Linked DNA regions of Tamandua tetradactyla. The protein of the gene in region 3 purifies or fractionates together with the protein of the main gene of each other region. This does not show direct contact. Links are inferred from orthologs where the notes say so. Each region holds a gene or a part of one and is shown on either strand. Other genes may lie near its edges.

The links. The genes of interacting proteins can lie anywhere in the genome.
Region 1: the proteins of SRC (region 3) and RACK1 purify together in Homo sapiens (affinity purification with western blotting; 4 studies listed by BioGRID, with this or other methods). This does not show direct contact. The link is inferred for Tamandua tetradactyla from reciprocal best matches to the Homo sapiens genes SRC and RACK1.
Region 2: the proteins of SRC (region 3) and KDR purify together in Homo sapiens (co-immunoprecipitation; 5 studies listed by BioGRID and IntAct, with this or other methods). This does not show direct contact. The link is inferred for Tamandua tetradactyla from reciprocal best matches to the Homo sapiens genes SRC and KDR.

What each region holds. Positions count from the first base shown.
Region 1 is NC_135346.1:3,339,120-3,346,726, forward strand, and holds the start of RACK1 (small ribosomal subunit protein RACK1), read right to left. Parts: upstream 3,004-7,607; 5' UTR 2,888-3,003; coding exon 2,779-2,887; intron 2,590-2,778; exon of another isoform or gene 2,522-2,589; intron 1,925-2,521; coding exon 1,753-1,924; intron 1,562-1,752; exon of another isoform or gene 1,484-1,561; intron 1,339-1,483; coding exon 1,191-1,338; intron 984-1,190; coding exon 888-983; intron 528-887; coding exon 417-527; intron 213-416; coding exon 72-212; intron 1-71. UniProt on the Homo sapiens protein: Scaffolding protein involved in the recruitment, assembly and/or regulation of a variety of signaling molecules. Interacts with a wide variety of proteins and plays a role in many cellular processes.
Region 2 is NC_135345.1:55,464,962-55,472,224, reverse strand, and holds the start of KDR (vascular endothelial growth factor receptor 2), read left to right. Parts: upstream 1-4,260; 5' UTR 4,261-4,544; coding exon 4,545-4,611; intron 4,612-5,758; exon of another isoform or gene 5,759-5,778; intron 5,779-6,383; exon of another isoform or gene 6,384-6,402; intron 6,403-7,263. UniProt on the Homo sapiens protein: Tyrosine-protein kinase that acts as a cell-surface receptor for VEGFA, VEGFC and VEGFD. Plays an essential role in the regulation of angiogenesis, vascular development, vascular permeability, and embryonic hematopoiesis.
Region 3 is NC_135327.1:14,867,407-14,875,365, forward strand, and holds the start of SRC (proto-oncogene tyrosine-protein kinase Src), read right to left. Parts: upstream 3,019-7,959; 5' UTR 2,867-3,018; intron 1-2,866. UniProt on the Homo sapiens protein: Non-receptor protein tyrosine kinase which is activated following engagement of many different classes of cellular receptors including immune response receptors, integrins and other adhesion receptors, receptor protein tyrosine kinases, G protein-coupled receptors as well as cytokine receptors.

The sequences.
Region 1 (7,607 bases), on a different chromosome or scaffold from region 3:
GTGTAACCATCACACTGGCAGGACTTCCAAAGTACAGCCAGGCACTCAGTCTGAACTGTATTCACACTCACCCAGATCTTGATGCTGGGGCCCGTGGCAGCACAGAGCCAGTAGCGGTTGGGGCTGAAGCAGAGGGCATTGATGATATCCCCGCCGTCCAGCGTGTAGAGGTGCTTGCCTTCGTTTAGGTCCCACAGCATGGCCTGGCCATCCTGGAAGACACCACTGGGTCACTGTGACTGTTCCCGGAAATCAACTCCATTTCCCAATGTTTTGTCCTAATCAACTCTTAAGCCCCCCTACCCCCTTTCCCAAGCTTCCTGTAAGCAAACGCCTCAAAGTGTCCCCTGCGAAAGGCATGTTCAGCCTCCCCCACCCCCCACTTTAAGAGTAGGAGGCCCCTGGCTCCTGAATACCTTGCCTCCAGAAGCACAGAGGGATCCATCTGGAGAGACAGTGACAGTGTTCAGGTAGCCCGTGTGGCCAATATGGTTGGTCTTCAGCTTACAGTTAGCCAGGTTCCATACCTAAAAAGAGGGGCAGAGGACCCACAGGTGAGGAAGCCGGCTTGGGGCCTAACATGATACCTTATTTGAAAACATTCCTGGGAGGAATGACCATCATTTATCAGTAAAAAGAGGTTGAAGAATTTCTCTTGGCCACTTAAAGACAACTGGGTTTTAAAACAGTTACTAAATGCTGTGTGGAGTCTTACAAAGGCTCTGGGCTCAAACTACTCCATACTTTTCCCCTCTTGCTATTAATACCAGAAATTTATGGCCGGAATTGGAAAAACAACAGCCAAAGGAAAAAAAGTCAATTAAAGGAACCTACAAAGTATTCAGAGCTGGAGCCCACACCCACCTGTCCCCTGGCCCCAAGCGCACCTTGACCAGCTTGTCCCAGCCGCAGGAAACGATGATGGGGTTGCTGCTGTTGGGCGAGAAGCGGACACAAGACACCCACTCTGAGTGGCTCTCATCCTACAGATGGAAAGGAAGCAAAGGGAAACCATCCCATGACATAAAATTCTAACTGCCCCAGCCTTCCCTCAGCCGTGTGGGGTGGGTGTCGGCAGCCTTATATCCTCCTCCCCAGAACTTTTAGGCTCCTGGCATAAGACAAGGAGAAATGGAAGAGGAGGAGCTCCAACACCTGCACCAGGCTCCCGACCAATGCCTCTGCTTTACCTGGACTGTGTACTTGCAGACTCCCAAAGTGTTCCACAGCTTGATGGTCTTGTCTCGGGAGCCAGAGACAATCTGCCGGTTGTCAGAGGAGAAAGCCACACTCAGCACATCCTTAGTGTGGCCTACAAACCGGCGTGTGGTGGTGCCCCTGGGAGGGAGGACATGGTCACTCTCTAAGCAGAGCCTGCAAACGGTCTCTCCACAGTTTCGTCATGTCCTGTCTCAGTGGTGAATTACCCCCCAATGCCACACACAGTCCCGACCACAAGTCCCTGGCTGAGTCTATGCGAGAGAACCCCCTCAGAATTGCAGGACATGTCCTCATGCCCCATGGGGATAGGTGGACAATGTCGTCTGTCATCACCAGGGTCCTCCATGACCCCTGCCACGTGCCCAACCACACCGAGGTGCCAGGCCAAGATACTCAGACCGCTCCCCAGCAAGACTCAGGTGAGTAACCCCGACATGACCTCCTTTACTCTACCCACTTCTCCCTACCACCTCTACTTCACTTTGCCCAGCTCTTCCCCAAGGCCCCAGGTCTAAGTGAGCAGCTACTTGCGTTGTGAGATCCCAGAGGCGCAGGGTTCCATCCCAGGAGCCTGAGAGGGCAAACTGGCCATCCGAGGAGATGACCACATCACTGACAAAGTGAGAGTGACCCCGCAGAGCACGCTGGGGAATACCATAGTTGGTCTCGTCTCTGGTCAGCTTCCACATGATGATGGTCTTGTCTAGAGAGAAAACCGAAATGGACACTCAGCCGCCTCAATCCTCGCCATCCTGCCGGTCTCCAGCCTCCTCACTGACCTACGGGCTAACCCGGACATCTCAAGGTCACAGAGGGCTCACAAAATGACAAATTAGAGTCAGGTGAGGGGGAAGGGAGTCCGCAAGCCAAGACAAGTTCACTAACCCAGAGTAAGGCCAAGCTGTGCATGAGATTCCGTCAGGTGTACAGAACTCCGAATGCGACGACGGATGTCCTTTTCTGGGACCCGAACCCATTAAGACATTTATCTCCTATCTGGTCTGAGCTCTAACGACTTGTGGACCTTTCTGCAACCGCTGGAAATGCTGCTCGGGCGCTGCCAGCCCGCAGGCTTTCCTGCACGCGCGTGCCCGGCACTAAGGCTCACCACTAAGCACCAGCAGCAGGTCGAGTCCCAGCTGCCTCCTAACCACCTGGGCGCTCTCAGAAGGCACGGGAAGCCCCCGACGCTGCGGGCCCACAGGGAGGGCAAAAGCCAAGGAGGGCCGAGGGGGCAAAGGGCAGGGCGGACGGGCACGAGGCCCCTGTGAGCCCACCCCTCCCTAGCAGGGCCCGGCGGCAGCTCAGAAACAGCCTCTGGGTCTCAGCACGGGCGCTCAGATGGCATGTTGGGATCATCACCGCTCCGCCCGGGCCCCGAGGGACAGGAAATGGGACACCCCCCACCCCCGCCAATGCTCCCGCAGGCCAAGGGCCGAGTCACGTCCCCCTCTGCAAAACGCGGGCGGCGCGCGGAGTTACACCGGACGGAGTGGGGCCCTGGGTCCGCCGCGAGCGAACGCCGTCCCCACCCGGCCCCCGCACCTCAGCTCGTACCTCGCGAAGCTGACAGGATCATGTCCGGGAACTGCGGAGTAGTAGCGATCTGGGTCACCCAGCCGTTGTGGCCCTTCAGGGTGCCACGGAGAGTCATCTGCTCAGTCATGGCGGCGGCGGGTGTCGAGGTCGCCGCAGCGACGAGGATGGCACCGGATGGTCCGGAGAGCCGAGAACCACAACCGAGACAGCCACTGCCCCGCCGTGAAAAAGGAAGAGCACCGCGCCACCGGAACCGGAAATAACCTCCCGCCCGGCCAAAATGGCGGCTCCCGCGAGTCACTTCCGTCAAAGATGGCGGCGCCATTTAGAGCACAGGGCATCATGGTTCCCTCCATAATTTGACAGAGCCGTACAAGTAGTTTCTGAAGCTAACGCGACTAAGGGTTTGAAAGGGCTCCTCTTGTTTCATCCTCTAGGTTTCCTTGTAGTGCCACACATGACCCTAAACATGGGATTGTAAAACACACAGTTGTGGACGATGACTTGATTAATGATATAAATAGAAGAATGTTTTTCCATGAATAAGAAAGTCACTGTTACAAAGAGTTAAGAATAGGGTGGCATAAACGGAAAAAATACACCCGATGCAAATTATGCGCTATAGTTAGCAGTAATTACGATTCTTCCATGAGTTGTGAGAAAGGTACCACACTGAAGCTAAGTGTCAATCATAGGGGTCTCAAAAGGGCATGGATTTTTTTTTCCTTTTTAGCAGTAATGAAAATGCTCCAAAATTGTGTTGACGAACGTACAACTCTGAAAGTATACTGTGAGCCATTGATTGCCCATGTTGGTTAGCTTGTATGGTGTGTGAATAAAACAACTTAAAAAAAAATACATCTCCTAAACTCTGTGAGTAAACTCATTACCCTCTCCTCTATGTGGGGCATGACATCCAGGGGTGAGTCTCCCTGACAAGGTGGGACATGACTCCTAGGGATGAGCCTGGCCCTAGCACATGGGATCAGCAATGCCTTCCTGACCAAAAGGGGGACAAGAAATGTAACAAAATAAAATATCAGTGACTAAGAGTGTTGAAATAGAGTTAAGAGGCTATTCCGAACACTACTCTTATGCAAATTTCTGCTAGATATAGCTAATTGCCATGGTATGCCAAACCCAAACCAAAACCATTCCTGTTTACCCTAAAGAACACCTAGGGCTCTAACTGAGATTACTTTCCAGAAACCTACACCCTCCTGGTTCCTACGCCAGATAAGTCCTGAAATCAGAGAGCCTAGCCTCTCCAGAACATCGACTAGTTCTATCCCCATGTCCCATATTATTGACAGCCTTTTCCAACATGAAAAAGTTAGAATGGGCTTAGCCCAAATACCCTTAAAGACTGGAAGAAAGATCAAAGGAGAAGGAGGAATTATAACAGAGAAGATAGGGTTTAACAAAGGAATATAACTGGTGGTTCCACAGGAGGCTAGGGGTGGGGTTGCCATATGATCCTTCAATGCTATTGCTCAATATATACCTGGAGGAACTGAGTGTGGGTACAGGAATGGACATCGTACCCTGGGGTTCATGGCGGCAGTGTTTGGGATTCACAATGGAGGAGGCCTGTGCTGGTTTGAATCTGTGGTGGACCCCAGAAAAGCCATGTCCTTTAATTCTCATTCAGTATTGCTGGGTGAGAGCGTTTTGATTGTTTCCATGGAGCTGTGACCCTCCCAATTGTGGGTAGTAACTTTTGATTAGATGGCTTCCATGGAGTTGTGACTGTACTTATTCCAGGTGGGTCTTGATTAGTTCATTGGAATCCTTTAAAAAGGAAACATTTTGGAGAGAGTCCCTTTTTTATTTTTATTTATTTTTTAACTTTTTTTATTAATTAAAAAAATTAAACAAAACATTAAGATATCATTCCATTCTACATATACAATCGGTAATTCTTAATATCATCATATAGTTGCATGTTCATCATTTCTTAGAACATTTGCATCGATCTGGAAAAAGAAATAAAAAGACAACAGAAAAAGAAATAAAACGATAACAGAGAAAAAAAATTATACATACCATACCCCTTACCCCTCGCTTTCATTTACCACTAGCATTTCAAACTAAATTTGTTTTAACATTTGTTCCCCCTATTATTTATTTTTATTCCATATGTTCTACTCTTCTGTTGCTATAGTAGCTAAAAGGGGCATCAGACACAAGGTTTTCACATTCACAGAGTCTCATTGTGAAAACTATATCATTGTTCAATCATCATCAAGAAACATGGCTACTGGAACACAGCTCTACATTTTCAGGCAGTTCCCTCCTGCCTCTCCGCTACGTCTTGAACAACAAGGTGATATCTACTTAATGAATAAGAATAACCTCCAGGATAACCTCTCAACTCTGTTTGGAATCTCTCAGCCATTGACACTTAGTCTCATTTCATTCTTCCCCCTTTGGTCGAGAAGGTTCTCTCAATCCCTTGATGTTAATTCTCAGCTTATTCTAGGGTTTTCCCAGTCCCTTGATGCTGAGTCTCAGGTCATTCCAGGATCTCTGTCCCACGTTGCCAGGAAGGTCCACACCTCTGGGAGTCATGTCCCATGCAGAGAGGGGGAGGGTGGTGAGACTGCTCGTCATGTTGGCTGGAGAGAGAGACCACATCTGAGCAACAAAAGAGGCTCTCTTGGGGGTGACTCTTAGGCCTAAATTTTAAGCAGACTTGACCTATCCTTTGTGGGGTTAAGTTTCATATGAACACACCCCAAGACTGGGGGCTCAGCCTATGGCTTTGGTTGTCCACACTGCTTGTGAGAATATCAAGAATTCAACTTGGGGAAGTTGAATTTCTCCCCACTCTCACCATTCCCCGAAGGGGGCTTGCAAATACATTTCCAGTCACTGATCAAATCACTCTGGGATTCATCGGGGCATCACTCTGGACAAACCAACGAAATCTCATGTCCTACCTGAGATTCCAAGTACTTATGACATTCAATCAAACTATCTACACGAGTTATATTAGGAAATGCTCTAGTCGAAATATAAATTTTGTAACAAACATTTTTTGCTTTAGTCTCACACATAAGGTGATATTTTTAAGTATTATCATCTGTTTTCAGCACCCTGCAATAGTGACGTTCCTTTGTTCTTCCTCATGCAAAAACATTTTTAAAATTTGTACATTGTACATTTCACTATTATTATACACTCTAGGCATTCCTAAGATTATATCATCTCGATCTTTAACATCTATCTTTCTTTCTGATTTTATTTATGTCCCCAGCCCTCCTCCCTCTGTCATTCTCACATGCAGCTTCATTCAGTGTTTTAACATAATTACATTACAGTTAGGTAGTATTGTGCTGTCCATTTCTGAGTTTTTATATTCAGTCCTGTTGCACAATCTGTATTCCTTCAGCTCCAATTACCCAATATCTCACCCTATTTCTATCTCCTGATGGTCTCTGTTACCAAGGAAATATTCCAAGTTTATTCACTAATGTCAGTTCATATCAGTGAGACCATACAGTATTTGTCCTTTCGTTTCTGGCTAATCACACTCAGCATAATGTCCTTAAGGTCCATTCATGTTGTTACATACTTCATAACTTTATTTTGTCGTACAGCTGCATAATATTCCATCTTATGTAAATGTCACAGTTTGTTTAGTCAACTGTCTGTTGATGGACATTTTGGCTGTTTCCATCTCTTGGTAATTGTTAATAATTTTGCTATAAATATTGGTGTGTAAATGTCCATTTGTGTCCTTGGCCTTGTGTCCTTTGAGTAGAGACAGCATATAGATGGGTCCTGTTTTTTAATCCATTCTGCCAGAGTGTGTCTTTTGATTGGAGAGTTTAACCATTAATATTCAGTGTTATTACTGCATGGGTAGTACTTTCTTCTACTATTTTGCCTTCTGGATTTTATATGTCATATCTAATTTTCCTTCTTTTTACTTTTACTCATAGTCTTCATTTCTACACTCTTCTCCATGCCTCTCTCTTCTGTCTTCATATCTGTCTCTAGTGTTCCCTTTAGTATTTCTTGCAGAGCTGGTCTCTTGGTCACAAATTCTCTCAGTGGTTTTTTGTCTGAAAATGTTTTAATTTCTCCCTCATTTTTGAAGAACAGTTTTGCTGGATATAGAATTCTTGGTTGGCAGTTTTTATCTTTTAATAATTTAAATATATTATCCCACTGTCTTCTCACCTCCATGGTTTCTGTTGAGAAATCTGTGCATAGTCTTATTGGGCTTCCCTTGAATGTGATGGATTGCTTTTCTCTTGCTGCTTTCAAGATCCTCTCTTTCTCTTTGACCTCTGACATTCTGATTAGTAAATGTCTTGGAATATGTCTATTTGGATCTATTCTCTTTGGGGTACGCTGCCCTTCTTGGATCTGTAATTTTAAGTCTTTCATAAGAGTTGGGAAATTTTCAGTGATAATTTACTCCATTAGTTTTTCTCCTCCTTTTCCCTTCCCTTCTCCTTCTGGGATACCCACAACACATATATTCATGAGCTTCATATTGTCTTTCAATTCCCTGAGTCCCTGATCATATTTTTCCTTTTTTTTTTCCCTATAGTTTCTGTTTCTTGTCGGATTTCAGATGTTCCGTCCTCCAGTTTTGAAATCCTATGTTCTGTCTCTTGAAATCTACCATTGTAGGTTTCCATTGTTTTTTTCATCTCTTCTACTGTGTCTTTCATTCCCATAAGTTCTGTGATTTGTTTTTTCAGACTTTCAGTTTCTTCTTTTTGTTCTTTCCTTGCCTTCTTTATATCCTCCCTCAATTCATTGATTTGGTTTTTGATGAGGTTTTCCATGTCTGTTCGTACATTCTGAATTAATTGTGTCAGTTCCTGTAT
Region 2 (7,263 bases), on a different chromosome or scaffold from region 3:
CTACCACTGAACTACCCCTATGCTTATTTTTTATCTCCAAGTATGATTATTTCTACTTGGATTGTTATATTTATTTTTACGTGAAACACCTCAAGAAATTATGTGAAGGAATTTGGATAGGGAATATATGCATACATATTAATAGTAATTGAGATTTTGATGTTTCACAAAAATGGGGAGTTTCTTTTACAATTATTAGAACGTAAGACTTTATGAAGAAAACCTAATACCAATGAAAACATCCAAGGCAAGCATGGCTTTGTGATGACATGGTCATCTTTTTCATTAACATAAGAATATGTTCTAAGTAAAAAATGTAAGTTACACAGGGACTGAAATAAACTTGGGTGTTTAGAGACAGTAGACAACAAGAGATAAAGAATAGGTTCCTAATCTCTGAAGGCACATAGTCATGAGCATGGATGGGCTATGAAACTGAGTTGACATCTGCAAAGGTGGTTTAAGGCTCTGGGAAGTTATAAAATAAACAAATGTTGGGAATAAATGAAGTACACATGAGAAAATTTCATGCAAATATATAATCAATAAATGACGATATTTGAAAATAATGTCACTAAAAAAGAGTTGGTCTTATTGATATTTTTTTATTTGTAAAAATAATACATTCCTGCTTGAAAAATGTCATAGAAATGCAAGAAGTAAAAAGTTCAAATTCCCATCTATCTACCTCTTTGCATCAACCATTTCCCAGAGATAGGCATTTGTTGGGTGTGTATCCTACTAGCTATTGTCTACAAATTTTCTATTATGAATGTATATCTATGTATCTCATCTCTATTTGTAAATCTATTTCTAGATCTGTATTTTATGCCAAAGAAAGATAGGAAACACTTTGAACACCTGATATCCATTGTGGTGAAAACAGTTTTCGGGTGATGGGCTGTGTATGGAGAACATAAATAAGCCAGATAATTACAGGCCTTGTAACAAGTTCTTCTAAGAGATTAAACATCTATTAATAAATCCTTATTATCACCACTACCATAGGTATAAAGTATTTTACAGTTTACAGAGCACTCGTATGAGATTATCTCATTTGATTCTCATAGTAATCCTTGAAGTGAGCAAAGTAAGAGTTATTATTTTCATTTACAAATGAGAAAACTGATGTCCAATGTAATGAAAGGATTTGCTTAATATCACTCCAAATCCATGTTTCACCATATCAAGTCTGGCACTGGAAAAGTCAGTGGTATTATATTAAATGCACCAAGCATCATTTTGATTATTGTTACTTAAAACAAGAATTTTTTTCTATCATAGAAACATGCAAAAGTAGAGGATAGTAAAATGAACCTTTATGTATCTATCATCCAGCTTTCACTATTATTAACCATTTGCCAATTTTCATATATATTTTTGAATATATGGAGTCTAATGTGCCGGTGATGGTCGTGGAACCACATTTGGGATATATGAGGTGTAATTTGTTCAGTGGGCTTTGGTGATATACACAATGTATTGTGTGCACAAATGCCTAGAAGTAGCTGGAGATACGCAGAACCTTGTTATCATATTAAATTTGCTTGGGCTGTTGTGATGCCTGCTCATTTATGCTCTTATCACCTTTGGTTTCACCATTGTAACCCCAGTTCCTGACACAGTGTTGTTGAATGAATGTGTTTTATTTGCAGTTTCAATTTAGACAGCATGAAGTGAAGAAGATCGTGTATAGTAGTATAACCAACCTCTGCAGAATGCTTCTTGGTGTGTTTCAGGTGCTAATTATAGCTACGATCTGTGCGTACCAGGTGCTAGGTCCTATTCTAAGTGCCTTCATGCAGTAACTCATCTGATTCTGACAAAAACCCTGTGAAGAAAAAACCATTATGATCTTTTATATTTTGTAGGTAAGTAACCAGTAATTTGGTCAAATCACATGGATAGGAAGTGGGAGATCTTGGAGTCAAAGTCCAGGCAGTGTGGCCCCAGGATCTGTGCACTTAGCCACCTCTGTTTGTTGCTCCTGTGCAATAACGTGTCTGAATATCATCTACGGGGCATTGAACACATTTGGGGTATTTGGTAGGTGGTGGTCCTACCTGTACTCCTGGATCAACTCACAAAATCACTCCTTTGCACTGGTGCCAGAGAATGGGAGAGGGTTGCACATGGAACAGAACTTTTAATTTATTTTAAACAGACTTTCTCATTTTTCATGAACACAAGGCACTTCTAAGTGCTGTGTAGGAGGGAATGTGGCAGAATGATTTCATTGAGACCCTGCCAATTTCTGGTCTTGCAACCATCAAAGACGCATCATTTCCTCAAAGACTTCTAAAGGGGGCTATTACCATGTGCCTGCAGGTTCTGGTTTGCATTTGGAGGAGACACTATCTTCCTAAGTGAGACATGGAAAAGGAAGTGTCACAAATTGTAAATAAGGTTAAGAGGCTGAGAGAGAACAATTGTTTGGACGTAAAGATGGAGAAAAATTTTCTCCAAACCAGGTACCATCTCTCTCTCTCTCTTGGCTGATTCTTTCAGAGTCCATCTTGTTTTACTTGCTAAATTTATTAGTGGGAAGAACGGAATTTTTTAAAGAATTTTCCCACAACTGCCCAAGCATGAAAACAAAATAAAAACCTCCTAGATAAATATTAGTACATCTATTCAATGTAACACCATTCCACCATTAAAAAGAATGAGATGCAGCTCTAAGGGTTAATAGAGAATGCTCTCCAAGGTATACTTTTATAAAGTGAAAACAGTCAAGGCTCAAAACAGCATTTGTACCAATGCTATCATTTATGGAAAAAAAAGGGTGATTAATCTACATATGTTCATATGTGCATAGAATTTGCTTGGAAAAAGGAAACCAGTTAAAAAGCTTGCCATTGGTGAAGGACGGTCTTTTCACTCTAAGCCTTTTTGTATTTTTCAAAATACTTTTAACCATATATACTAGTTATATTTCAAAAAAAGTTAAAATATTTCGATTGTCAACTTGGAAATAGAAGAGCAAGCAAATATTTTTAAAAAGTGGAAGAAAAGCAACATTTTAATTGTGTTTTTCAGGAGGAGGGTTTGGGACCAGATGTAGGGTCAAACAGTAATTCTACCTCTCCATCTCGCTGAAGGATGGTCCTTTCAGTTCCCATTCCTGGGAAGTAAGAGGCAGAGGGATTAGGGAGATCTTGATTTAATGAAGTTAGGGGGCATTTCATGTCACTCCCCAGGTGTGGGAAGAGATGGATAGAAAACAAGAAGGAACAATGAGGGCGGAAAAGAATGGTAGCTTCCCTCCAACCATCCAAGAAATGTACATCTGTGGTGAGAGTCGTGAGCTTTGTCCATGGAGTGTCCAGAGTACCTACCTAGCTAGGAACTTTCACTTAATTGCTCTCAGCAGAGGCTGGCCTGCTATACTTCCTTTCCCTCGGCCTCAGGGTATCTTGGCTTGGAAGTTCTCCTTTGAAAAGGGGCCTGGCCAAGGACCCAAGAAGAGTCACGCTGGGGACTGGCCGGTTAACAGGGTGGACAAAAGCCCTTTCTCAAGGAGAACCTTACGAGAGAGACGGGTGCCCCTCACGCCTTAGGTCCACCCAAGCTGGGTACCTCCACCTCCTGTGAGCCCTGATGTAGGTTTCTGGCCTGGAGCTAGGCAGGACCAAACGTGATGCTTGCAAGCTTAAATGCCTTCTGGGGCTCCGCAGTTAACTTCAAAATACTTGAAGTCGCCAGGTATAAGAGGAAATGGCAGGAACTTTTTGACTAGGAAAATGTATTTTCTGACTAACAGCATTCATATCCAGACTTTTAAACTGTGCAACTGTGCTGGCCAAACAAAATATTTCTAACTGGCTGGAGTCAGTGCCAGTTTGCGACCCCGGCTTAATATCCGCTTCTGGCTGCTTGCTCCAAACTGCGCTCAACCTCAGCTGGTCTCGCAGTTAGTTTAGAAGCGCGCTACAGCGCAAGGGTCTCGAACTTTGACGCTCGGAGCCGGTTACTGGCTTCATGTTACTTCCACCAGAAATGGAGTTGTCGCGCCCAGGACATTCTCTCCCGGGCGACTCGAGGTCTGCGTAGTCCTGTGCAGGTTGGGAGGGGAGCTGTAGTGGGCGTGGCGAGCCCGGGATCCCAGCGAGCGAGCCGGGGGAACACCAGATCCTGCGAGGTGAGGGGCGGGGCCGACAACAGAGGGGCGCCCCCCCCCAGATCCCGCCCTACCTGGCCCCGCCCCCCGCGCTCTAGAGTTTCGGCCCCAGCTCGCACCCGGCACTGAGTCCTAAGACACCGCAGAGCAGGCGGTGTTCTGCCGCTGCGTTCTCTCCACCTGCACAGGGCGTAACTGGCGTGCTGCAGAAAGCTCAGCCGGTCCCGCAGGCGGGATATTCTTTCCACCAGCTCCCGCACAGGTCTTGCCAGCCGCGCGGGGAGCCGGGGCATCCTCGCCGAGTGCGCTTCGGGGTCCTGCTCTGCGGCGCGCGTCCCGGCTCCGCGCTTTGGTGGCCGGGCAGGCCCCGGGCAAGAGAACCGACTCCCGAGTTCTGGGCACCGCGCTGGGCTCGAGGTGCAGGATGAAGAACAAGGCGCTGCTGACCATCGTGCTGTGTCTGTGCTTGGAGACCCGGGCTGTCCCCGTGGGTAAGGACCCCACTCCATGGGAGGGAGCCGAGAGGTCGGGTGCGGGTGGGTGGATGCGGATGCGGGGAGGATCTGGAGACCGATCTAAGTTTGAATCATAGAGCTGGAGAGTTGGGAGAAACTGACACATTTGTGCTGTTCCTTTTACCCAGCGGGGAGATAGACTCACAGACTGGCCCAAGATTGCCCAGCGAGGTGGTCTCCCGAGCTCTAGCGGTGTCTTTTCCAAGGCTCTGGTGTCTGACCGGGACCTCGGCTGGAGCGTGTACTGCGGGGCCGACGCACCCTCGGGCTCCTTGGCGGCGGGGCGGGAAGGCGCCAGGGGCTGACTGGCAGAAGTTACCCCGGCAGGCGGGAACACACAGTGAGAAGCTGTCCGACTGTGCGAACCGTTCTGGGGGGGACCCCGGCGGGCTTGCCAGTCCGGGAAGGAAGCCTTGCTAGGGGAGTAAGTCCTGCGGTACAGCTCACACAGTGCCCTCCGCTCTACCTCGGTGGGAGTGAAACGGGGCCACCGGCTGCCTGTTCCCTCTTCTCTCGGACAGGCACAGCCACTGTATGAGGTGGCGGGGTCCGGGAAGAGGGAAATTTTTACTCTCCATGGAGCAGGACGCCGCTCTTCTTGCAGAAAGGGGTGGGGTGTTGGGGTCTTGGTCCCGGACCCTGTCAGCTTCCCCAAGTGACTAAGCGACAACCCCCTTCCTAGGTAAAGCAGTGTTAACGTCTTTCTAAGCATTTTGGCTCCTAGGTAAGCGCAGGGTCTACCCTGTACCCAGATTTAGCGCCACTTAACATTGCGGTCCCCTTCTAGATTAGGAACCCATAACGTGCTGGATGCAATAGCTGTGTGTGTGTGTGTGTGTGTGTGTGTGTGTGTGTGTGTGTGTGTGTGCGCGCGCGCGCGCGCGCGCCCAGTTGATATTCTTTCTCCATAGCCACAGTTTACTGAGTCCCAGATTCTGTGTCTTGGAAGAGAAGGGGAGAGGGCGGAGAAAAGCAAAATCAGATGATCCAGGGACCCAACTCCTACAGAATGAATCATGTGCCCCTTATGTTGGGGTGACCACTGATGTACTTTCTTACCTCTTTTTTGAAAGGGAGAGAAAATTACTTTTAAGTGCCATCTTATACTTTGTATCAGCCAGTGCTGGAGAAATCGTGAATAACGTATGTACAAAACTTTTTTTTTTTTTTAATTTTCTATTATTTTGAAATTCTGCCTCTTTGGATTTGGGGAACACTGGCTACCCCATCTCTACAGTCTGGGCTGGCAGAATGCTGATGTTTTACAATTCTTTTCCCCACTCAGTTCCCCTCTTCTGGTGAGGTTCCTGTGAGCTCTGTTAGATGGGCATCCTGAAGCTTGTTAAAATGTACCCTCCGTTGGTGCGGTCTCTTTTGGGGGCAGATTGGGAGAAAGAGAAACCAATAATGCAACTGTTTTGATAGAAAAAATTGATAAAATGTCTTTTTGAAGTAAAGAACCAGTCCCTCTAAAAATAATAATAATAATAATTCAGGGGAAAAAATTCTTATAACGATAGAAAAAAAACACACTTAAAGAAGGCACGAGCTCAGTACTAAGATCATCTGTCCATGGTTATTGAATTTTCTTAATCGTGACTTACTTGGTTCTCCAAGCTTAGCTGTGTCACGGCCACTCATTTGTCCCTGACAAGGCCTCTCTCTCCCCCCTTATGGGAAGAGAATGAAGATCTGGAGCTTGTGGTTGGTCTGTAGCCCATAAAGAAGTGAGTTGCTTTTAAGCCTGGGGTGTTTCATAGCACAGCTGTAAGTAACTGCTGAATATAATGGTGGGGTTGCCCTTTTGGAGTGTGTGACTTACTTAATTGGATTGGGCTATAATTGGTGCCATCAAATTCTAGAGACAGAGGCACTGTTGTTTTTCCTTTCTGTCTCGAAGCTGGGGAGGGTAATAGTGCACAATTTAATTAATATGGGTTATGGGATTTGAACATAGAAGGGCTTTTTATTGAGCATATGTATCTCTTATAGCCATTTCTGTAGGATATTTTCTGAAGAATAGGACTCAAACTTGCCAAGGAAAAATGAATGAAAGTTAATGGAGCAAAGAAAAAGAAAAAACTTGAGTGTTGGTCTACAGATAAGAACTTGAAGTTATCATTATTGCTGGCCTTGTTGAATAGATTTTTGTTGTAGACAGGTCTCTAGAACAGTACAGTGTTGTCTTAACTTCTTATAGAAAAATGTCATGGAAAAGGTTTTTTCTCTCTCTTTTTAAATTTGTTTTCTTTTTTTTTTTGAATACTCTGGGGACTTTTTAAAAATTATTTTTGTATAGGAAGATGTGTCAAGAATGTGAGATGATCTGTGGCAATAATATATAAAAGATCTTCAAAATTCTCTTATTTTGATGGGGGGAAGGCTGTCATAGCTTATTTAGAGCCTTGATACTACTCCCATTTTATTCTCACACAAATGTGCCCAAATAATGAATTATTTCCTATTTGAATTATCATGTGAGTTGTATTCAGTTGTTGTTATTGACATTTTTCTCAAGCTCGCATTTCCCAGTCAAATTTGAAACTTTTGCTCATTCAGATGAAATGTTTTCATTTTCATTTTCTTTGGAAAATGGGCTCCCTTATTGGAAGGCTTTTTTTCTTTTGC
Region 3 (7,959 bases):
CAGATCTGTTTCCACCGGGTGCCTTGGGCAGCACTGTATGCCTGGCCCCTAGCACGGGGCTGGGCAAAGAGGGGACACCAATTAGCCTCCTGCAGGAACATGAAAACCAAACTCTTCCCCGAAGCCCACAAGGCCCACGAGGCCCTGGTGATCCAGCCCTGCTGATCATACCCCCCTTATTTTACCTCTCATCTGCTCCTTATTCCCTCTGCTCCAGCATCACAGGCTTTCCCATTTTTCCTCCTCAACAGCCCACACTCCCCCACCTCAGGGCCTTTGCACATGCAGTTCCTGCTGCCTGGCACGCCCTTCCCCAAGCTCCACAACTGGCCAACTTCTCCATGTATCCTTCCAGATGCTTCTGCACCCCAGGCCTTCCCCTCACAGCCCTTATCACAATCTGTGGTTTTGTATATTTATTTATTTATTAGGCAACTTGTTTGCTATTTGGCTCCCCCTCCAGACTCAAATTTCTGGGACGCCAGGGACTTGCTCACAATCCCCCAGCAAGAACCCACCCAGGCTGATCTCTCCCCCAAACCTGGGAGATGCCTGAGCAGAAAGGAAGAAAGAGAACAGTCTCTGCTGCTTTGTTGGGTGAACTGCTGATGCCCGCTCAGCTCAGGCCCGCCACCTCCTGGAAGCCTCCTGATGCCTCCCACAGCTCCCACTGCCAGCTCCATCACAGCACTGCTCAGCCTCAGTCATAAGCTCCTAATTCATAGTAGGTGCTCAGTATGGGGTCACGGGTGCTTATATCTGGGAAGGTTTGAGAAAGTGGGGTCAACTAGGGACCGGGAGGATGGGGTGCTTGCCCCGGCAGCCCTCTCCTCCGTGGTCCCTGGGGAGCTTGGGGAAGCCAGACACCTCCCCTTACGCCCTCCTCTCCAGGCCACGATCAGGGAACAAGCAAAAGCAGGAGCTAGGCAGTGCACCGGAGGTCATTCCTGCTCCAGGAGGAGGCTGGGGCAGGGAGAGGTGGGGTGGGGGTGGGGGGTCCTTCCCAGCAGAGTGGGCCGTCAGCTAAGCCTTGAAGAGCATGGGCAGATAAGCAGCTTACAGAGAAGGCACCCCTGGCAGGAGGCCTTCAGGAGCAAAGGCCCAGGGGCCACACAGGAGGGCCTGGGCAGTCAGTCAGCTGATAGAAGTGACACACTATAAATCATTTCCGCGGGTGGAAAGACAACATCACCTTGGCAGGCCCAAAAGGGCCTCATGGCTTCCATTCAATCACTCCTCGGCAAAGCCTTCCCCTAAACTGCTAGGAGCCTGGCCCCGTGCTAGGCACCCCCTGCTCTCCCATCACTGGAGGGGTACCAGGGCAGCCAGACTGGGGTCTTCAAGGTCTGAGTTCTAATCCCAGTTCCCGGTTGTGTGGCCTTGGTCAAATCACTTCTCCGCCTCTAAGCCTCAGTTTCCCCAACAGCAGACAGGATAAATAAAAGTTGCTATCTCACAGAAGGCACTGGCTGCCGTAACTGCCATCCCATTTTATAGTTGGCAAAACAGAGCCAGAGAGAGCACTGAGTCGCCTAAAGTCACACAGCTGCTGGGTGGTAGGACTAGGCTGGGGTGTTTCTTTCTCAAGAGGTTATGAGGCAGATTTTCAAGGACCAGTCTACTCTCCTGGGCATATGAGACCCAATTGGGTCAGCAACCTCCCTCCCACCCACCTTTCTTAGAGCATTCATTGAGAAAAGTGCTCACTTATTGAGCACCTACGTGCAGAAGTTCATAGAACCCCCTGGCACCCCTGTTTTGCATACAGGGACTTGGAGAGGCAAAGCGTGTGTGGCCCAAGTCACCCAGTGAGACAAGAAGTATCCCAGCCAGTGCTCCCCGCCCCTCCCCCACCCCAGGATCAGCCTGGCCCATCCAGTGACATCGTGACATCGTGGCTGGACCAGGTTTCATGGCAGATGACCCAGAGACCACTGTCCCCATTCACAGTCAGCCCTTGAGGCCCAGGAAGCCTTGCCCAGGGCCACACACGCTCTGCCCACTCCCAGATCTGCCTGAAGGTCCCAGAGGTTGGACTGACACCTCAGAGGTGAGCCCCTTCTGTACATCTCCCATCCTCTCACCAGCCCAGCAATGCAGCCAGGCCCACCTGCCACTGATGAGGATGCGGGCTCAGAGAGGGCAGGCAGTTTGCCTGAAGACACACAGTTGGGCAAGGACCCATCCCAGCTCAGCTTCATCCCTGGTCCAGGTAGGCAGATGGACCCATCAGACAGCAGGACACCCAAAACTTCTGCCAACTTCTCAGCCAGTGGGCTGCTGGGCCTGCCCTGGGCGAGGCTGGGGGCTGGGGGCAGCCGGGACCAAGCCTAGCCTGGCCCAGGCCTGACCGCAGGCCCCACGAGGACCCGGAGGTCCTGGCTCCCGGAGCCCAGGGCCCGGTGCCCCGTCCCCGGCAGCCCCTCCCGCGGCCTCACCTCCCCACCCTGGGCCGGGGGCTCCGGGCTGGGCAGCTGGGCCGGAGGCGGCGCCGACAGGCTCAGATTTCAGATTTGGCCTAGACCCGGTCGGGAGGCTCGGGCCCCGCTCGTCCGACCCTGGGCAAGGCTCGCGGGGAGAGGGTGCGTGGAAGGGGGTCCCTGCGCGCCCAGGACCCCCGCGCCCCCCGCCCAGCCCCCGCCCCGCCCCCGCCCCGCGGCATCCTAACAAAAGGCCGCGCCGGCAGGTCCCCGCGCGCCCGCCGTGCGCTCCGGCCCCGCGGCCCGGCCTGGGGGATCGGGGAGGCCCGGGAGGGGGGACAGGGGCCCCCCGCGGCCCGGCCGACCGACGCCGGGCTGGTCCCGGGGCGGCGGCTCCCCCACGCCGGCCGGGGTTGGGGGCCCGCGGAGAGGCGGGGGCCACTCACCTGGGCCGGCAGGCGGCCGGGCGCACGCACCGGCAGACGGACGCACGGGAGGGCTGACCGCCGCACGGCCACGGGGTCGGACAGACAGCGGCCTGGCCGCTCCGGCTCCCAGGCCGGAATGGATTCCGGGCCGGGAGAGCCAGACCGAAAGAGAAAGGGAGGAGGAGGAGGAGGCGAGGAGGCGGTGGCCCGGGGAGGGGAAGAGGGGGAGGGAGCGCGAGCGCGGAGGAGGGGCCCGGCAGGTCGCCGGGAGATGAGGAAGGAGGAAGCACGCGGGGACCGATTCCCGCCGGTGACCTGGGATACACCTATGGCCGGCCCAAGCCAGGGTCGTGGCGGAGCCGGGTGGACTGGGGCCTCGGGCACAGAGGAACGCCCCCCACTCGGTGCAGTGACAGGGTCCCCATTCTCCCCCTGGGCAAAATGCCTTCCCTGATTCCCGCAACCCACCCACCCTACCTACCACCCTCCTGACCTCCTCTCCCGCAGTTATTATTGGTAATGATAATAATAGTGGCACTAATGGAGCACAATCTCTTGCCAGGCACCATGTCAAGGGTCCAGGAGACTCTAGGATCTTTTCCTAAAAGGTGGGCGGGGCAGTGCTATGATTATCCCCATTTTACAGATGACAAAACTGAGGGCAAGAAGGGGTCACCAGACAGGAAACCAGGCCTTGGACTCCTGCCTTGAACTGTTCCCGAAAGTGGGGACCTGGGCAGGTGAGGCAGTGCAGAGAGGAGAAACTTTTAATAAATTTGTATTCATTTTAATGTGTATAAAATAAACTATAACTATGGCAGCCCATCAGACCAGGGAGTTCATGATACTACCGCTTAGGAGGGGGCTGAAGCTGGTATTTACGTGACCGTTACACTTCCAAGTAAATAAAGAAGCTAAGTAACTCTGGACGCAGTGGGCAGGAAATGGGACGTTGAGGAAATTCTGCTTTAAGCCACAAAGCCTCCCCAACCACTCTCCAACCCCACCTGACCCCTCCCATCCCCTGGCCCAGGCTCCAAGCATGCCCTGTTTCAAGTGGAGACCCCCCACCATCACTCCCACTGGCTCCCCACCTGACCTCCTGGAATTATGGCACCAGGGGCAAGTGGATCCAGTTTTAAATACCTGCCACTGTTTTCCTCTTCTGAAAGTTCTCCCATTTCACAGACGGGAAACTAAGGCCCATCCAGATCAAAGTGTCACCAGATATGGGCTTCTCCCCCCGGAAAGAGGTCCCTGCTGAGAGGAGCTGGGGAGAGCCCTAGAATGTGGGACGCAAAGCCCTGAGGGTATAAAATAGCTTCCAGGAGACCAAGAATGAGCAAGTCCTTAAGCCAGACTGATCTGGGCGCAAATCTAAGCTGGTTGCCACCTGCAGTGGGCCCTTGTACAAGCCCATTACCTTCTCCAGCCCAGTCCCCTTCCTTGTAAGGCAGGACTGAGCATGGCCACCGAGGGCTCCCGGAACTAAGTGTGAGGTGGCCACAGCAGTGCTCAAAATATGGTCGCTGTTGTGGTTGGTGAACTGAGGCCAGAGGGGTAGGGGGTGGCCGAGGTCCCAGCACAAATCAGCAGCAGAGTTAGTGCCAGAAGCCAGCCTGGGCTGCAAAAATGGCTGCGCTTTTAAAGATTAATTGCAGCTTCCCCGAACTCCTGGTGGGCCCCTGGCTGGAGGAGCAGGTTTCTCAGGCCTGATTCACTCCTCAGACATTGCTGAAAGGCTTTACTTTTGCCACACTGGACTAGAGGTAGGATATTCATCCAGTGGTGTGCAGAGGCTGGTTCTTACCAATTGTGTCCATCTCTGGCAAGAGCCAATGGTGTACGTCTCTTCCCAGCTCCATGTTTAATGATGTCACGCCGGTAGCTTGATATTAGCTATGGTGGGAATAGTTACGCCCTGAAAATTGGCAAATGCTACAAATCAAGGTTTCTTACCCGAGAGAGCAGGTTGTTAAATACTTACCAATGTGTCACTGGATCCATCCCCAGGAGTTTAACAGAAAGTTCTGGGCTTCTTCTGGGGCTATGCTGACAGAGGGCTTAAAAGCACAGGCTTTGCACCTATGGAGCTGAGTTCAGGTCCTAACTGCATCGTCTCGCCTACATGACCTTGGGCATACCATTTCTCTGAGACGCACTGTGCCAATCTGCAAAACGATAGTGCTTCCCCCAGAGGGCTTGCATGAGGATGAAACCAGGTGAGGCGTGCTCAGTGTGTGGGGGCTGTCACCGTTATTCATAGCCCTGCACTCTCTCGTGGGTGAGAGGGGGCAGCTGACTTGGACAAGCCTTGGTGCTGCAGGCATAGACGCAGCTGCCACCTGGAGTCATCGCTGGTTTCAAGAGCCCGGCTCAGCAGCTGAGGGTCTCAAGAGGCGCCCTTGGAGGATGTGGCCAGTACGATGGTTTCATTATTGGGTATCTGAAGTGCTGAGAGTGTTTAGATCCCTCATTAGTTTCAACCGTTTCTCTGGGCCTTTTGCTCAGACTGTGACCCCGTCAGAAATGTTTGCCCCATATTTCCAGCTTCCCAACCCTTCAAGGCCCTATGTCAGTGCCACCGTCTCCAGAACGAGCTGCCTGCACATTCCTGCTGGAGGGGTGGAGGTGTACCCCCACGTCCACTCAGGGATGCCACCCGGACAGCAGGGACCGTGGCCCAGCTGTTTGAGGACATGCTGACTTGGGATCCACAGATGGGAGTTAAAGTTCCGGACCTTTCATTCACTGACTATGTGACCCAGCCCTCTCTGGATCTCAGTTTACTCACCAGTAAAATGGGGGCAAAATCCAACTTCCCAGCTTGAGGAGTATGCTGAGGGGAGAGTTGCTGGTGTGGCCTGGACATATGTAAGGGTCTCTTTGAGCATTGTTTTGCTTAAAATAGTCTATTGGTTAGTAAAATAGCAACTCATAGCTTAACACCAGCAAATTATCCATCATCCTCAATAGACAGCAAACATTTACTGACCACCAACTATATACCCAGCCCGGGGCCAAGCCTGGGGCACCAGCAGGGCCAATCTCCCAACACAGAGCACCCAGCAGATGACAGATGATGTTGAGGTGATGAGAGCTGGTGGTGTGCAGTCCGTGGACTCTGGACTTTTTGTCTTCTTCCCTTTCGCCCACTGCAGCCTGATCCAAGCCACAGCCAAGGGAGGGTAGGATGGACAGTGTGGTCTGGTCCATGTGGCTGGTGGCAGATCCATGGGCCAGAGCCTTCCGTGACATGAGGTCAGGGGTCCCGCCCACATGTCACCCAGGGCCCAATGGCAATCTACGTGCCACGCCCAGCCCCTTGGAACATCTACTAGGAGGTTGGATCCATCACAGGCACTCAGTGGGAAATTCCAGACCAGCCCTGTCATTCCCCAGATGGTATGCTGTGAGTTGTCTGTCTGTAGCCACCAGCCCAGGGCTGGGGGATAGGGTGGAGGGGTGGGCAGGCTCCAGCCTGAGGCTGGGGAAGGGCTAGGCACCTCCCACGGCACTGGACTTCATGGTTCACAGAGAGACGTCTGATTCATCAGTGCATCAGCCACATCCGGCCTCACATGCAGCCCCTGGACTCCTTCCCTTGCTCCGCCAAGCCTGCCTCCTTGCTGTTCCCCCATCGTGCCCTGAGGCCTTGGCACCTGCTGGTCTCTCTACCTGGAATGTTCCCTCCCCCAAAACCCTGGCTAAGCCTTACTCCTCCTTCCTCCGTTCAATCAGTATTTATTGAGCACCTACTATACACCAGGGTCTGGGCTAGGTTTGGAGGAGCTCACAGCCTGGAGAAGCTGGGAAGTGTGACCAGCATGGGGCTAGAGGAGCCCCTAACCCAGCTGGTGAAAGGAGAGGGTTATCCAGCAAGAGAAGCCCGAGGAAATGGCTGCCAGGTGAAAATGGGACTGGAAGGGTGTTCCAGGCAGAAGGAACAGTATGAAACACTGCAGTGTTTGGAACTACGAGCAGAGCGGGGCTGATGGAGCCCAACACAGTGGATGTGCTGGGAACCAGGGGAAGGGGGGTTGGGGTGAGCCCTGAGGAGAGTGCAGAGAGATGTGTCCTTCAGGGGCTGCCACCGAGTGGAGGATGGATTGAGGGGCAGAAGGAGGGTAGACATGAGGCCCCAGTGCGGATGGAGGCCACAGCGGACCCGACTGAGGCAGAGCTCTTGACTTACATGGGCGTGTGCACACGGGCACCTGCCTGTATCCCAGGGCGTGAGGCCAGGGGGGACGCATCACCAGCCCCATGAGAGTCAGAAGGAGCCAGGAGCAGGTGAGCGCATCCTCCAGTGTCCAGCGGGGAGGGATGGAGACGTGCATCTCAGCAAGTGGGGCCCGACTGAGGACATCCCCGTGATAGCACTGATTGCAGATTGCCGCTGCTTCGCCTGGGGCTTTTGGCTACTGCCCAGCCAGGAAGCCTGAGGAGCAAGTGCCAAAGTCTGGAGACGAAACAGGGATGTCACAGGCAGAAAAGACAGCAGATCCCTAGGCTGGTGCAAAGGTCAACTGCCAAAAAACTCAGTGACTCTTCACCCCAACCCCCTAAGGCTGTGGTAGAGGCCCAGAGAGGGACAGATGGTCTCCCGAAATCACACAGAGTCACTGACAGGCAAAGCCAGGCCCCCTTCCCCCACACCCAGGCCTCCTTCAGCCACATCCCAGAAGTTTTGTGAGAAAAGATGAAAGGATTCGGGGACTTTGATCTGCCCTTGAGGGCAAAGGGCGGGAGGAAATCTGAAGCCAAAGATCTGATTCCAGACTGGAGGGGGTTAGAAACCTCGGGCAGAGCCGAGATTGTCTGCGATCAGAGAGCTTGAAAGAATTATTGTAAAACTAATCACAGCGATAGAGCTCACCCAGGACTGGGGCCCCGGTGAGGGGCACTGGTCTAGACACAGCTCCAGGAGCTCGGAGCCATTGTTCTCCCCATTGCACAGAAGAGGACACCGAGGCTCCTAGAGGCGCCAGTGAGGTAGGGCAGAGCCTTGAGTGCAAACCCAGGCAGAATGCAAGCCCTCCTGGGTTACCCCCACCTCAGGAGGCATATCCAGGAGGGAGCAGGGAGAGCTGCAGGGCCCGGGCCTGGCC